Arabidopsis thaliana: one gene and its partners. The protein of the gene in region 1 interacts with the protein of each later gene in a pairwise test. Each region holds a gene or a part of one and is shown on either strand. Other genes may lie near its edges.

The links. The genes of interacting proteins can lie anywhere in the genome.
Region 2: the proteins of GDU4 (region 1) and STP4 interact in a protein complementation assay, tested with the Arabidopsis thaliana proteins (one large-scale study listed by BioGRID).
Region 3: the proteins of GDU4 (region 1) and TPC1 interact in a protein complementation assay, tested with the Arabidopsis thaliana proteins (one large-scale study listed by BioGRID).

Annotation. Positions count from the first base shown.
Region 1 is NC_003071.7:10,557,622-10,560,765, forward strand, and holds GDU4 (glutamine dumper 4), read left to right. Parts: upstream 1-1,551; 5' UTR 1,552-1,857; coding exon 1,858-2,328; 3' UTR 2,329-2,618; downstream 2,619-3,144. UniProt on the Arabidopsis thaliana protein: Probable subunit of an amino acid transporter involved in the regulation of the amino acid metabolism. Stimulates amino acid export by activating nonselective amino acid facilitators.
Region 2 is NC_003074.8:6,932,881-6,937,747, reverse strand, and holds STP4 (sugar transporter 4), read right to left. Parts: upstream 3,181-4,867; 5' UTR 2,701-3,180; coding exon 2,568-2,700; intron 2,482-2,567; coding exon 2,162-2,481; intron 2,081-2,161; coding exon 1,451-2,080; intron 1,369-1,450; coding exon 907-1,368; 3' UTR 551-906; downstream 1-550. UniProt on the Arabidopsis thaliana protein: Mediates an active uptake of hexoses, probably by sugar/hydrogen symport. Can transport glucose, methylglucose, galactose, xylose and mannose, but not fructose.
Region 3 is NC_003075.7:1,578,092-1,585,978, forward strand, and holds the start of TPC1 (two-pore channel 1), read left to right. Parts: upstream 1-1,837; 5' UTR 1,838-2,161; coding exon 2,162-2,281; intron 2,282-2,609; coding exon 2,610-2,753; intron 2,754-2,849; coding exon 2,850-2,957; intron 2,958-3,267; coding exon 3,268-3,363; intron 3,364-3,478; coding exon 3,479-3,609; intron 3,610-3,801; coding exon 3,802-3,862; intron 3,863-3,959; coding exon 3,960-4,126; intron 4,127-4,218; coding exon 4,219-4,324; intron 4,325-4,430; coding exon 4,431-4,508; intron 4,509-4,661; coding exon 4,662-4,723; intron 4,724-4,869; coding exon 4,870-4,942; intron 4,943-5,060; coding exon 5,061-5,126; intron 5,127-5,218; coding exon 5,219-5,362; intron 5,363-5,438; coding exon 5,439-5,496; intron 5,497-5,765; coding exon 5,766-5,873; intron 5,874-5,960; coding exon 5,961-6,024; intron 6,025-6,099; coding exon 6,100-6,268; intron 6,269-6,506; coding exon 6,507-6,571; intron 6,572-6,726; coding exon 6,727-6,817; intron 6,818-6,991; and 8 more. Other genes in the region: GSL05 (glucan synthase-like 5), read left to right, coding at 1-1,104. UniProt on the Arabidopsis thaliana protein: Functions as a voltage-gated inward-rectifying Ca(2+) channel (VDCC) across the vacuole membrane. Is one of the essential components of the slow vacuolar (SV) channel.

The DNA of each region.
Region 1 (3,144 bases):
AAAGTTTATAACATTTGGGGCACAAATTTGCACCTGATCACTACATTTTAATATGATGACAGCTTTATGGATTATTGAGGTAGTGCACCTGGTGCACGGTAGTTGGTGTGATAGTAACAATTGGAAAAAAAAAAAAAAAAAAATCCCACATATGACTTTTATTTGCACTTTTGAAATTTTTTTTCTTTATTTTTCTTTTAAAAATATATTTTTAATATGTAAAATTACTAAATTAACTTTCTTAAATTAATAACAATTAATCAAAAACATATATATTTTAATATCAAATCAATTTATTTGTAATAATTAAAATAATTCAAAATATATATTTAGGGTAATAAATTTTTGAATTTGTTAGTCTTTTATAACTAACAATTCCAAATCTTTATTGCCCTAAATATGTTTTTCTAAACAATAATGACTAACAATATTCTACCGATATTAAGTCATGATTTTTTTTAAGCCATGTGTTATGGTGCAGATTTTAATATTCATTATTATTGTAAAACATTAAATAATTTACTTTGCAAAAAAAAAAGGAGAATTATTGAATTCAAGCAAAGTTTGGTGATATGTTAAGTTGAAAATTGTGTTTGGACTACTCGAGATTATTTTATTTTATATAAGTCCGATTGGTAACACAAAACTGTACAAAATTTTAGCTGTTAGCTATAACCAAAACTTTTTTTGGAATAGTGCAAAGTTGTACAAAAGAATTATACGAGAAAGCTGTACAGTAAAGTTAAGAGTAAAACTTTTTGTAATGTTTTTGATAAAGTTAATTTTTGCGAATGATAACTCTCAAAATAGTACAAGTTATATCGCTTTGAGAATGTGTTACCATTTAAAACCTATAACATGACAAATATTAAGTGATAGACTTTATAATACTTTTAGATATAGAAAAATTGAGAGATAGAAAATTTCTTCATCCAAAAAGAAAGAGAGAAGTTGGATTCCCAATTTGCGGGATCCCAAAAAAATAAAATCCCCATTAGGCATCATAGTGTGTCCTCACAAGAAGATAGATATCGTGCCATAAATTAGAACTGAGAGTAAGGGGTCTTGGAATCCATCTCTCACTCTCATTCCTCTGTCACTTCCAGAAACCAAACTATTCATCTATCTAAATTGATCTATTTGGCTTAAAGTATCTTAGAGTCATCAAGAGGAAACCCCTTGTCTTTCCAAAAACTTTCTCGATATCATGCTATCACTGACATATTATTGGATATAAGACTTATAAGTCTAATACCCAATTATTGTAGTTTGTGTAGTTGATTGATGTCAAAGTTCATATGGTTTCAAATTTATTGGTAAATATTATGATTGATATCCTTTTTTTGATTTTAAAAATCACCATTTATATATTTTTCAACAACCGTTAAGCAAAAATTTTAAACCAATCTGCGGTAGTTCTTGTAGGCATTTTTCAAGTTTTTTTTAGTGTAGTTTCTTAAAGATACTAAAATTTAATTTATCGTGTCTAGTTTAAATTTGTGTAATTAATGTTCGCTATCTTTCTTTAAAAAAACAAGCACCTTAACATATATATGTGTCTATAACAAAGTAAGTTTGAGTACATAATATTGCATGCAAATATATGCGGCAAAACTAAAAAGTAATAAACGGCAAATGAAAAAAAAAGCTGCTTTAATTCAAATAATTAAATATTCGGAGTGACTCACTTTCTTTTTCCCCAGGGACTTCTTACCTATAAATATAACACCTCACCACACCCATTGTTTCATTCATCTTTCCAGCTTTCTTCACTTTTTCCTTTATATAAAGTTAGAAAAACAAAAAAAACAAAATAGTTAGAAAAAATCTGAGAGAAACAGAAGAAACATAAAAAAAATGAGGCCATTGAGCATTAAACCAACATCGTTAGATGTAGCTAGACATGCCACATCAGTAGAATCATTTGGGAATCACCGACCGCCGATATCGCCGTGGCACTCACCGGTGCCGTACCTATTCGGTGGTCTTGCGGCGATGTTAGGCCTCATAGCCTTCGCTTTACTTATCCTAGCCTGCTCTTACTGGCGCTTGTCAACCTCCGGTGATGACTCCGGCGAAAGAGTCGACGAGGAAAAAGAGAGTCGGTCTGGAGTGAAGGCGGCTAGCGCGGCGTGCGAGGAGAAGGTTCTTGTCATAATGGCCGGAGATGACTTGCCGAGGTTTCTGGCCACGCCGGCGGCGAACAAATGCATGTGCGGTCACGAGGGTAGAATGGTAATTTTCAAGGAGGATGGTATTGGTGCTGGAGAGGAGAAAATGGGAGACAGAGAGAAAGCCAAAGAAAATGAAGAAACAACGAGTCAGTGAGCTTTTTTGTTTTCTTTTCTTCTCTCAGTCTTGTCTTTTTTTTTTTGTTGGGGAATTTTCCTTCGTGTTTTCACGGGAAATGTAAAATTTACTGAGAGAAAATTTTGGGTTATGATTAATGAATGTTTGCTTGTAATTTCCTATCCCCAATGGTGGAAAACTCGTTTTTAGTTTTTGTAATTCTCAAAAGTGTGATAGGTAACCTTTCTCATACAGCTTTAATACCAATCAGTAATAGAGTAAACTAAAACGGAATAACATAATAGTACTTAAAATTCTTACAATTTTATGTCATCACTAAGATCTACAAAAAAATGAATCATAGTATCATAACACTATGTTTGCCCAAAAAAAAAAAAAAAAGTATCATAACACTATTGATCATAAATTCAAAGCTTGCAATGTTTCGATGGAAACGTGATTCATCCCGTACACAAACTGTAATTTTATATACATTTTCAGAAACTAATGTAATGCATTAACCCTTTTGTATTACGTATATATTCTCACATTTTATATTTTGTAAGGAGATTCGTTTAGTTACTTTAATTATGAATTGTTATAATTGTGTCTCCTCCATGTATTTGTGTTACTTTCATATTTTCCTTGCATTTATATATTTTATTTACCATAGGATAGTTCTGAATTTGCTATCAACTTGGATATTTTAAATTAATTGAGACTCCATCTAGTTCACCGTCAAATTTTAACTATACTTGTTTAACTATACTTGTTATATAACGAGTGAATAAACTGGAAATAGTATTACTATTAACTATGAACTTACATTCGTAATATTCGAAAATATGTGCGTGA
Region 2 (4,867 bases), on another chromosome or scaffold:
AAACGAAACACACACACACACTCTCTCATGATCACATTCAGAAAAAAGAATTGGTACTATATAGATCAATTTGAATTTTTTAATAATCTTAAATATCTTTCAACAAAAATAATGTTATTTACAATGCGTAATTTGAAAGAAAGAATTGGAAAACGTTATAGGGAGTTTCAGGCAATGAAACCAAATAGACAAAAAAAAAGAATCTTCAGTTACCAGTTTCCACGAGCTCGTTGCCATCATATTCATAGGTCAATCTCAGTTTGATATATGCTATCAAAGTTTAAAGGTAATATCACTGCTAGGTTTGGTCGGGAGTTTTTGACTCTGTACTCAATTATTCATCCATGCACTGATGCACATCAGTACTTGTATTATTTCTAACTTTTTTTTTTTGGGAAATTGTAATACCGTCACTAGATGAGTGATAGTTTTAAGTTATATTAAACGATCAGTTTTCGAAAATGTGAAATTACTTTCTCACAAAATTTGTTGCAAAGAAGAGCTGAAGAGGTACCGCAATCATTGGAAAGAAAAAAATGGTAAGGATAAACTGGAATATCGATTGATGAGTGATGACTATTCTTGTTTCTTGCATAAAGCGTTAACACTATTTTTCTCAAATAAAGATTCAATGAAATGTAAAATAAGAAACCATTTTTAAATAATTTTGTTCTTTTTTTTGTTTTTACATCTTTAGGCCCCAAATAACAATTTCAACAAAGAAACATTAAAAAAGAAGAAAGAAGAAACAATGAAAGCTAAGTCTCTGAAGCTAAAGACAGAGCAGCTTTCTTTTAGGAAGTAAGGCATTTTTGACAATTATTCTTATTTCATCCCAAGAATTATTCACTTTCTCTTTTCTCATAAATCTTTATTGCCCAAAGAAAACTTCATTCTTGATCATCATCATACGGACTTCTGTTGCATCTCAGCAGCACCCATATTGACAGCTTCATCAGGAATAAACTTTCCCCAGAACCAATGTGCCTTCCACACTCTGTTCATCTCTTCGATTGGCACATTCTTTGTCTCAGGCAACATCAAGTAGATGAATATTGTCATTATGACAACAAAGAAGGCGAAGAAGAAGAATAGTCCGAATTTCATGTGACAAAGCATAGTGAGGAAGAGCTGAGCCACAAGGAATGTGAAGAACATGTTGACCGAAACGTTTATGGCTTGAGCTGCTGATCGGATCTCTAGTGGAGATATCTCACTAGGAACCAACCATCCCAACGGTCCCCATGACCAGGCGAAACCCGCTACATAGATGCAGATCAGTGCCACGATTAGATTGGCATCACTTTTCCCTATGTTTCCTGTTCCAGCCACTCCAAATTTGACTCCAATCATGGCTCCAATAGCGATCTGTAATACACACCGATATTTTGAGATATTGAGTGCCAATTAAGAAACGTATAGTAGGGTTAGGGTTAGGCGTTTGTGTTACCTGAGAGACAAGCATCTGGATACCTCCTTGGAGGAACAAGATTCTTCTTCCAAACCTATCCACTGTAAAAACAGAGACGAAGGTACACAAGAGCTCGATGATACCCGTTACCATAGCTGATAGGAGGGAAGCTTTGCTACCGAACCCGAGGGTTTGGAACAAAACCGGGGCGTAGAAGGTAATGACATTGATTCCGGTAAGTTGTTGAAAGAAAGGAATGAAGCAAGTCATGATCAATTGTGGTCTGTAACGAGGAAGCATGATGTTCTTCCATGGGTGTTTCACTTGCTTGGACTCCTCACTTGCATCAATGAGATCTTGAAACTCTTCATCGACTTCATTGGTTCCTCGGATGGACTGAAGCATTTCCTTGGCCTCTTCGGTGTAGCCACGTTCGATGAGAGAGTTGGGAGTGTCGGGAAGGATCAGAGCTCCGATCATGATCATCACTGCAGGGACACAAGCTAATCCGAGAGAGATTCTCCATCCGATGTTTCCTTTCATCTGTGCGGTGAAGTAATTGATGATCGTTGCAACCACAATACCAAAGATAATCGCTACTTGAAACCCGTTGTTGAAAGCTCCTCTTAGATTCGGAGGAGCCATTTCTGATAAATAAACCGGTACAGACTGAAACACAAAACAAAACCAGTTAACTAAGCCACCAGTGTTACTTCTTCATCAAGGAAAAAGACAGTTTTTAGAGCTTACTTGATTGGCGAATCCGACTCCGAAACCAAGTAGGATACGACCAATGAGAAGCATAGCGATGTTTTGGGCAAAGCCGTTGAAAGCAGAACCGATGAAGAAGGTGAAACCACCGAGAAACATCGACCATTTCCTTCCGAAAACTCTAGTAATGGTGGAGGCAAAGAGAGAAGACACCAAAGCCGCCACATAGAGAGACGAAGTGAAGAGAGTGAGAAGCTGACTATCAAATCGACAGTACTCGTTCTCATGTGCGCTCTTCATCTTCTTGTAGACGTAAGGGAAGAACTCTTCCAAGAATGGCTCCATTGAGGTTACCCCTCCTACAAGAATATAGAAACCCTAATTAGTCACCGGAAATTCCTAGATCAGATCAAAGAAGAACAAGACTTGAAGAAAAGAAAAAAACCTGAGATCCCGAGATCGTATCCGAAGATGAGACCACCAAAAGCACCGATGAAACATGTCACAAACACTTTCGGTGTCAGTTTGTAATTGTAGTTCCGAACACCCGGCGTTTGACTGACGAACCCTCCGGCCATTTCTTTGATTTGCTAAAAAACAAATGAAAGATTTGTTGACTTCTGTCTGTTTCAGACAAACAGAGCAGATCTTTTTTCTCTCAGGTAATTAGTAGATCTGGTTCTCGAATTCAGACAGAGAAATCAAATGTAAGAAGAAGAAAAAGAAGAAGAAGAAGAAGAAGAAGACAAGATTTGATATTGAAAATGAAGAAGAGTTTAGTTGAAATTTATAGGATTCGACAAAACCTCAAAAAAAGGAGAAATTAACTGTCGGCTGACTTCTGAAGTTTAGAAGAAAAGAACAGCTGTTGTTCTGGTTCTTCCACTTGCCTATTCCTCTAGATCGTTATCTTCTTCCCTTAATCTCGTGTCTTTTTTTAGTTTTCAGACCAAATAATTATTGTCTTTTTTGCTTAAAACGTAGAAAATTAGTATTTATGACGAGGAATCATTTAATTACTCTTTGGATAGTTTACCAAATTAACCAGATTATTGGACTGAAAATTAATTAATTAATACACTAATGAGTCGCATTTTGTAAGATGATAACTCTTTACTTTGCACTAGAACTACAATTTTGACTCAATTAAAGCTATTTTTGGTTTTATCTAGTCACTTTCGACAAGTGACAGTTATTTTAATTTGATGCTGTGGTACTTAAATGAGTAAACCACCCGCAAAACTCGGTCAATGGACAGCAAAGACCGCTACTAGTTTAATTTTAGTCTTGTAGATAAGATCTTTGATCTGATATTTTAAATTAGGTGTAAAATCTGTTTTTCAATTTTCAAACTTTTAAAAGTAGTATAGTTTAGTTATTACTTTTCCGTCTTTTGACACTAAAAAAAGTGGTATGAAATCTTCAATATCTATCCAAAATTTGAGGTCATATTGATACCTTAATAACCTTTTTACCCGTGAGCCTTTTCATTCACATGCATGGATCTATAATGAATGTAATGTTTTAACATTATCCATGGAATGGGGACAAAATTTAGTTTTTGATAAAAACTAGATTTCTTGATTTTATTAAGAGAGCATATTGTACGTCAAATTGACTATAAGATAACATTTCTGTGTCAGAGGATATTTCAAACAATGATAGTAAACAGTTGGGCTATTGATTACGATGGAAAGAAAAGTTGACTCACTACTTTTCTATATGTATAATTAATTATTTCGTAAACTATACGTAGCTCCATACTTTCATTCGTAGTCTTCCGTTGCTTTCTACTCCTTTCGTTTACATTGGAAAGTCAAAACTCGCGTTACATTATTTTCATGATGTTCCCATAAGGTTTCGTCATTATAGTGTCATATCGTTATCTTAACGACGTTATTCATGTAAGGCTATATTAATAACTACGTTATGCATTGCATACAAGGATATGTTTTATTCCCTATATAAATTGGTGTGATATATTATATATATAATCTTATGTTTGCTACATACAGTAATTAATGTGATTTGAATTAGTCACATTTTTGTTAGACTCATCAGATCTTGTCTCAGCACTGCATTCTCATTAGGATCAGCAACTTGACACTGAATTAATTAACCATCTTTTATGTTTGATATATTGCAGTACTAATTAATTAGTTAGTGCTAATTGTTTACATGCCGATGGAAATTGTAATGTTAATGCAAAATTTGTATAGCTAAAAGGCCTAGCTAGAACAAAACAATTAGGTGAATGTGTTTGAATCTGAGAATCTGAGAAATGCGTTATTTTGATGTAGTGATCTTCTGTAGTTTGATTGCTCTCGTTCCCTTTTTATAAATGTGAACCTTTGTCTTGTTAATTTCATGAAATTATTCAGACGAATGAAAAAGAACAAGACAATTAGGTGTTTCGTCGATCACATGCGTAAAGCCAACTTGACTTTTAGATATTTGTTTGTTTGTATTGCAGATTTTTAAATTATACGTTCACTGAAAACAAAATTCAGAGAAAACAAAAGTAAGAATAAAATGAAACAGGACAACAAAACTCAAAACATAAAGAGGAAGAACAAATTGAAAAACACAAGACAACCAAAAACTCGTACAGTGTACCATTACCATATGTAAGGTTTTGATAATAAATTAATAATTAGAAACCTTAGCCGAAAAAATACAATTAAGAAATAATGGGCATTGGTGCTATTTTCGAGACAGCAAACTCGTTTTTTTTTTTGACGCAAA
Region 3 (7,887 bases), on another chromosome or scaffold:
ATTGTTGAATGGTCTCTCGAGGAGGGTTTCCTTCTAGCGATATGGAATTTCATTCGAATGCAGATTCAGCTTTCAGCTGTCTTCTACACATTCTCAATGGGGACCAGAGCTCACTATTTCGGTCGAACTATTCTCCATGGTGGGGCCAAGTATAGAGCCACTGGACGTGGATTTGTTGTCGAGCACAAGGGATTCACTGAGAACTACCGACTGTATGCACGCAGTCACTTTGTGAAGGCCATCGAGCTTGGGCTGATCCTCATAGTCTACGCTTCGCACAGTCCGATTGCCAAAGACTCGTTGATTTACATAGCCATGACTATCACCAGCTGGTTTCTTGTGATTTCATGGATAATGGCCCCATTTGTGTTTAACCCATCAGGATTCGACTGGCTTAAGACAGTCTATGACTTTGAAGACTTCATGAACTGGATCTGGTACCAAGGCAGAATCTCAACGAAATCTGAACAAAGCTGGGAAAAATGGTGGTACGAGGAACAGGACCACCTGAGAAACACCGGGAAGGCAGGATTATTTGTGGAGATCATCTTGGTCCTCCGGTTTTTCTTCTTCCAGTATGGGATTGTATACCAGCTTAAAATTGCAAACGGATCCACCAGCCTTTTTGTCTACTTGTTCTCATGGATATACATCTTTGCTATATTTGTGCTCTTCCTAGTCATCCAATACGCCCGTGACAAGTACTCGGCAAAAGCTCACATACGGTACAGGCTTGTCCAATTCCTCCTGATCGTGCTTGCTATACTGGTGATTGTTGCTTTGCTCGAGTTCACGCATTTCAGCTTCATCGATATCTTCACAAGCCTTCTTGCATTCATCCCAACTGGCTGGGGAATTCTGCTGATCGCACAGACTCAAAGGAAGTGGCTGAAGAATTACACTATTTTCTGGAATGCTGTTGTCTCTGTTGCTCGCATGTATGACATATTGTTTGGGATACTCATAATGGTTCCAGTAGCGTTCTTGTCATGGATGCCTGGATTCCAGTCAATGCAAACGAGGATATTATTCAATGAAGCTTTTAGCAGAGGACTTCGCATCATGCAGATTGTCACTGGGAAGAAATCAAAAGGCGATGTCTAAGTTTAAAAAACGGTAAAGCTCCTTGTTCTCAACACCTTATGTTATGATCGTTTAAATCCTGGATTTCACACCAATGCGGGCTTTAAATTTGTGTAGGTCTTAAGAAGTAAATGGTAGTTCAAATCCTATTGGTATGTGGCGAAGGAATCAGTTGGAGGTTAGTTTTCCCGAAACAACCGAATTCGAAGTTTTGTTTCGTCTAAAGAAAAACTCAGATGCTGATGATTTATCTTTGTATTTTAAACAGGTTTTTGGAGAGTTTGGTTGGATGAGGAATCGGGAAGTTGGTTTGATTCGGTTAGATGGGTTTAGGGAGATATTTGATTGTCAGTGTGTGTGGAGGGAACTCTGATTCTTGTATGGTTTTTGTTCTAAAGGTACAGCAATTTGTGTAGTGAGGCTTTGTGTATTTGTTCTCCTTCTCTCATTATAGAGCTTTAGAGCATTTTTAGTTTATATTCAGATTGTTATCTAATGTCATCTCGCAGAGCTTTTGTTCACATTTCACATCTTTTCTTCTCCTTCTTAGTAGAGATCAGTTTCAGATTAGATACTTGTCCATATTCCACTACTCTCGTCTATTATCGGTTTCTGCTTGTCAATTTCTGGGTCCAAAATTGAAATAAATTTATATAATTGGACCACAACACCACTTTGTCGGTTTTGACTTTTCTACTTGGATGCTCCTGAACTTCTTGCTCCCTTTTCTATTACAAATTGGGAAACAATCAGTGTGAATTGGGGAATAAAAAAAAACAGAATTGAGCAATTAAAGCCACGTGGCAAGAAATCGACGAGGGACCAACGTGTTTGTCTGCAAGATCTAATCCTTTTATTAACAAAACGGCGACTGATCTAACGGGAAACTTTTAAAATCGAGAAATTGTTAATAATAAATTCAACTACTTCTGGGCCATCATCATCAATCTTGTTCGTCTTCCTTTTGATCTTATCAAACTACAGTCAAATCACTCAGAGAAAGCTACTAGGTCTCTCCTCGACATTTGCTTTCAATTCGATCCAGTAATTTTCTTCTCATCGGAGAGAGAAAAAAAAAATGGAAGACCCGTTGATTGGTAGAGATAGTCTTGGTGGTGGTGGTACGGATCGGGTTCGTCGATCAGAAGCTATCACGCATGGTACTCCGTTTCAGAAAGCAGCTGCACTCGTTGATCTGGTTCTCTTATTCTCTTACACCCTAATTTTGAATTCGTTTTCCTCTTTGACTTTTCAAAAAGTTTCTATACATGGATCACATCGCCTCCAAGAGAGATTCTATGTATTTTATCAGTTCATTAAGTCAGTGTTTTTGTTAAGCTGAGAAGATGAATCGTTTCTTCTTCTGAGTGATTTCTTCGTATAAGGATTAGTCAATGCTTTTGTGTGTATATCCTCACGAAATTAGCATTGTTTGAAAATTGGGAATGGAGATATCTGTTGTTTCATTGTCTCTAAAGTCTTATGTCAAGAGGATTGTTGGATTGACTCTGATTTGTGGTATGTAGGCTGAAGATGGTATTGGTCTTCCTGTGGAAATACTTGATCAGTCGAGTTTCGGGGAGTCTGCTAGGTATTACTTCATCTTCACACGTTTGGATCTGATCTGGTCACTCAACTATTTCGCTCTGCTTTTCCTTAACTTCTTCGAGGTCAGCACATTTCTTTGGTATACACCAACCTTGCTTGAAAAATTTATAGAAAATCACAACTTGAAAGTAATCACACACTTTTCCTGTCTTTTGCAGCAACCATTGTGGTGTGAAAAAAACCCTAAACCGTCTTGCAAAGATAGAGATTACTATTACCTGGGAGAGTTACCGTACTTGACCAATGCAGAATCCATTATCTATGAGGCAAGTAATTACACTTAAGTCTTGTTTGCCTTTGTTTTTTTGCTATAGATGCATAGATTTAGTGCAGATGGGCTCATGATATACATGTACATCCACTTGAAAGTTTAAGACTTGAATTGCCTTATGTTTGTTTTCTTTAAATCTTGAGAAGCCTTGAGTATTTATTCAAGACTAGTTTATCTCGTTTAATTCGTCGTTAAGAACTTAATATCAACACTCACATCTTATTTTGGATATGTTTATTATAAGGACTGGCCAAGATCCTTTTCTCATTGTGCTGAAATTATAATATTCTTTGCTGTCCAAATAGGTGATTACCCTGGCTATACTCCTTGTACATACTTTCTTCCCGATATCCTATGAAGGTTCCCGAATCTTTTGGACTAGTCGCCTGAATCTAGTGAAGGTATTTCCTTACTAGCCACTTCACAGTTTTGTGTTTCTTCTTTTTGTTGAAAATCGATCAGAAAGTAAGAAATTCCTTTTCTTCGTGCAACAATTTGTCTTCATATTGATTCCAGGTTGCTTGCGTGGTAATTTTGTTTGTTGATGTGCTGGTTGACTTTCTGTATCTGTCTCCACTGGCTTTCGACTTTCTCCCTTTTAGAATCGCCCCATACGTGAGAGTTATCATATTCATCCTCAGCATAAGGTATCCGTAGATCTCTGCTTCTTTTCTATCAACTATATGGGTTATATGTCTTTATTTCTATAGACAAAGATGCGCAGATCATGTCATGTATGATAAATGTCGACGTGTGATTATTTGACCTACTATTCCTCCTATTAAATCTCTAAATACAGCACATTCCCCAAAGTTATGATTCTTTACATTTCTGTACAGGGAACTTCGGGACACCCTTGTCCTTCTGTCTGGAATGCTTGGCACATACTTGAATATCTTGGTCAGTGGCCTTCCCCAATCATTTTTGACTTTCAGATAAGTAATTAACTCATATTGATTGTCATCCTATTTACTTAACTCCTTGAATATTTTCACAGGCTCTATGGATGCTGTTCCTTCTATTTGCCAGTTGGATTGCTTTTGTTATGTTTGAGGACACGCAGCAGGGCCTCACGGTCTTCACTTCATATGGTGCAACTCTTTACCAGATGTTTATTTTGTTCACAACATCCAACAATCCTGATGTCTGGATTCCTGCATACAAGTAAGTATTAGGTGAAATCCCATTTGTGTCTCAGTTTGCTTGTATGGCGTTGCATCCAGTAATTTAGTGACTTATTTGTTCTGTCCTCTAAGGTCTTCTCGCTGGTCTTCGGTGTTCTTCGTGCTCTACGTGCTAATTGGCGTCTACTTTGTCACAAACTTGATTCTTGCCGTTGTTTATGACAGTTTCAAAGAACAGGTGGATTAAGGATTTGATGTTTGTATGGTTCTTATGTCAGCTTTTAAAACAAAAGTATTAACCTCTTTTGACACCTTGTGTCATATCATATCTATTCTGTTTGCAGCTCGCAAAGCAAGTATCTGGAATGGATCAAATGAAGAGAAGAATGTTGGAGAAAGCCTTTGGTCTTATAGACTCAGACGTAAGTTCATCTACGCATAGTGATTATATCTACTCCTAGAGATATCCGGAGAAGTTCTCCTTGGGCAAAGATCTTCATGAATGGAGAGTCTTTGTATAGTTAACCACTTTGCTGAGCATATATTTCTTCGTTCTTTATTTCATGTTTTAACAGAAAAACGGGGAGATTGATAAGAACCAATGCATTAAGCTCTTTGAACAGTTGACTAATTACAGGTTTGTTGCTATGATCTTTGGTATTTTCAATCTTTCCTATGTTTCGAAAAAGAAATACATCTTTTATATACTTGTTTGTGGTTTCTTCCCTTTTGTATGTTAACTTGTGAGACCTGATAATGATATGCATTCATTTTTCCTTATAGGACGTTGCCGAAGATATCAAAAGAAGAATTCGGATTGATATTTGATGAGCTTGACGATACTCGTGACTTTAAGGTAGAGATCTGTGAAGGATGTGGCACATATGATCAGGATACACCTTAAGATTACTATTCACCTAAACCTCTTGACGACTAACAGATTCTTTGTCCCCTTTTTGTTTCCTGTTGAGCAGATAAACAAGGATGAGTTTGCTGACCTCTGCCAGGCCATTGCTTTAAGATTCCAAAAGGAGGAAGTAGTAAGTTCACATATACTTTATTTTCCTTCTCTCAAAATTTACTTACCTCCACCATATGTTTACATTAGCGATCCTTTTTGTTTTCATTGCAGCCGTCTCTCTTTGAACATTTTCCGCAAATTTACCATTCCGCCTTATCACAACAACTGAGAGCCTTTGTTCGAAGCCCCAACTTTGGCTACGCTATTTCTTTCATCCTCATTATCAATTTCATTGCTGTCGTTGTTGAAACAACGGTATATCATGTTCCCATATTTCTTTGACATGCGATTCCTAATTCTTTCATAAGCCATAACAGATTTTGGTATGCAGCTTGATATCGAAGAAAGCTCGGCTCAGAAGCCATGGCAGGTTGCCGAGTTTGTCTTTGGTAAGAACTTGAATAGGTTTCCACTATCTTCTCTCCATTTTGTATTTTTCTTCTATTTGATGCTTTGTGAAGTGTATAATCTATGGTTACTGAGAAATATGATGAAAAGATGAAGAATGAAATAGAAGTTAAGCTATTTCCTGTGTTATTACACTGAGTAGAGTACTTCTATGGATCATATTAGATTGTAACAGCCGAATTTTATTGACCACCTTTTCAGAGTCTTAACTTTTTCTTCTTTTAATTTCTATCTTTGAATGTTTTTACAGGTTGGATATATGTGTTGGAGATGGCTCTGAAGATCTATACATATGGATTTGAGAATTATTGGAGAGAGGGTGCTAACCGATTTGATTTTCTAGTCACATGGGTCATAGGTAACCTATTGAAGCAGCATTTTCATCTTGTTTTGCTGATTGAGTGATTGATGGCTATGCTATAAGTGATAATCTTTGTATCTGCAGTTATTGGGGAAACAGCTACCTTCATAACTCCAGACGAGAATACTTTCTTCTCAAATGGAGAATGGTGAGGAATAACGATGACATATTTGTTACAATGGTCTTCTTTTGTACTAACCCAGACTCTGGTTCTCATTGATAGGATCCGGTACCTTCTCCTGGCGAGAATGTTAAGACTGATAAGGCTTCTTATGAACGTCCAGCGATACCGAGCATTTATTGCGACGTTCATAACTCTTATTCCAAGTTTGATGCCATATTTAGGGACCATTTTCTGCGTGCTGTGTATCTACTGCTCTATTGGCGTACAGGTAAATCAGACTACTGAGTTTTTTGTCTGAAAAATGCAAGCTTATGATGAAGCCTTGGTCAATGGTCATTCTCGTCATTTTTGATTATTCTAAGCCTCTTGAAATTCTTCATCTTTCCGTTCATCTGAATGTTTTAGGAACCGCTGAACTGCTACTCTCATGTGTTTTCCCTGTCTTCTCTCACGGGTTCTATTTCCCAAATCAGATATAAAAATTTCTTCATCTCATTTCTCCGTAGGTCTTTGGAGGGCTTGTGAATGCTGGGAACAAAAAGCTCTTTGAAACCGAATTGGCTGAGGATGAGTATCCTTTTTAACTTTCTGAAAAACTTTTAATGCACTCAACACAGTCTTAGTACACCTTCTCTGTTCCTGTGATTGCTAGTGTGTTTTTAATTTTTTATTACTGGGGTAAAAACGTTTTCAGTATAAGATCGTTTCTTGACGGGAAAAACTCAGCTACCTTTTGTTCAACTTCAATGACTACCCCAATGGAATGGTCACACTCTTCAATCTGCTAGTTATGGGTAACTGGCAAGTATGGATGGAGGTAATTTCACTCTTCTGTTAGTCCCAACTTTAGACTCATTATAGTTTCCAACAAGAAGTATCGCAAGATTCATTGGAGCTGAGGAGGCCAATGCTAGATGTACTATAAACAGCTTGCTTCTTATTTGCCAATCACTATGGTGCAATGGTTTTAACTACTCTTAATTTCTTTCAGAGCTACAAAGATTTGACGGGCACGTGGTGGAGCATTACATATTTCGTCAGTTTCTATGTCATCACTATTTTACTTCTGTTGAATTTGGTGAGTTTCACTGACGCCAACTCCTAAGAGCTCGATCAAACAGAGGCCATGATTGTTGTAAAGAAACTTAACTCTGCTTCTTAGATCGACTTATAATGCGTGTTTGTTTCAGGTTGTTGCCTTTGTCTTGGAGGCGTTCTTTACTGAGCTGGATCTTGAAGAAGAAGAAAAATGTCAAGGACAGGTTTGTTATTGTCTTTGATTCGCCATAAAGTTACAGATGTTGGGGAGATTAGAAAAGTAAAGAACCTTTTGGTTCGTGTTCAATCGGCAATGTTTTCATCTCGTTATTGTATCGTTGCAGGATTCTCAAGAAAAAAGAAACAGGCGTCGATCTGCAGGGTAAGTAGATAGGTCAAATTGTTGGTTGGTAATATCATACTAGACTCAAAATCTGAAGGTTTATTTTGTTTTTATGGTTATTAAAGGTCGAAGTCTCGGAGTCAGAGAGTTGATACACTTCTTCATCACATGTTGGGTGATGAACTCAGCAAACCAGAGTGTTCCACTTCTGACACATAAAACAAAACAAGATCGTTAAGAGCTTATTTATACGTTTATACTGTGAATCTTTGATTCTATATGGAGAGATCAATAGAATCTAGAAGGTGACTAAATTTTTTCTTCTTTTGGGTGAAGATTTAATATAAGACGATTGTGTTATAATTTGTCATGAAAACATATGACTATATGACTATATGAGCATCAATTTCTTTAACACTTTTGTAATGTTTACTGAGTTTTACTTTGACCTTTTAAAATGTAACTTTTATTAGTAAAAAATCCAAAAGAACATGAAATTGGAAGAG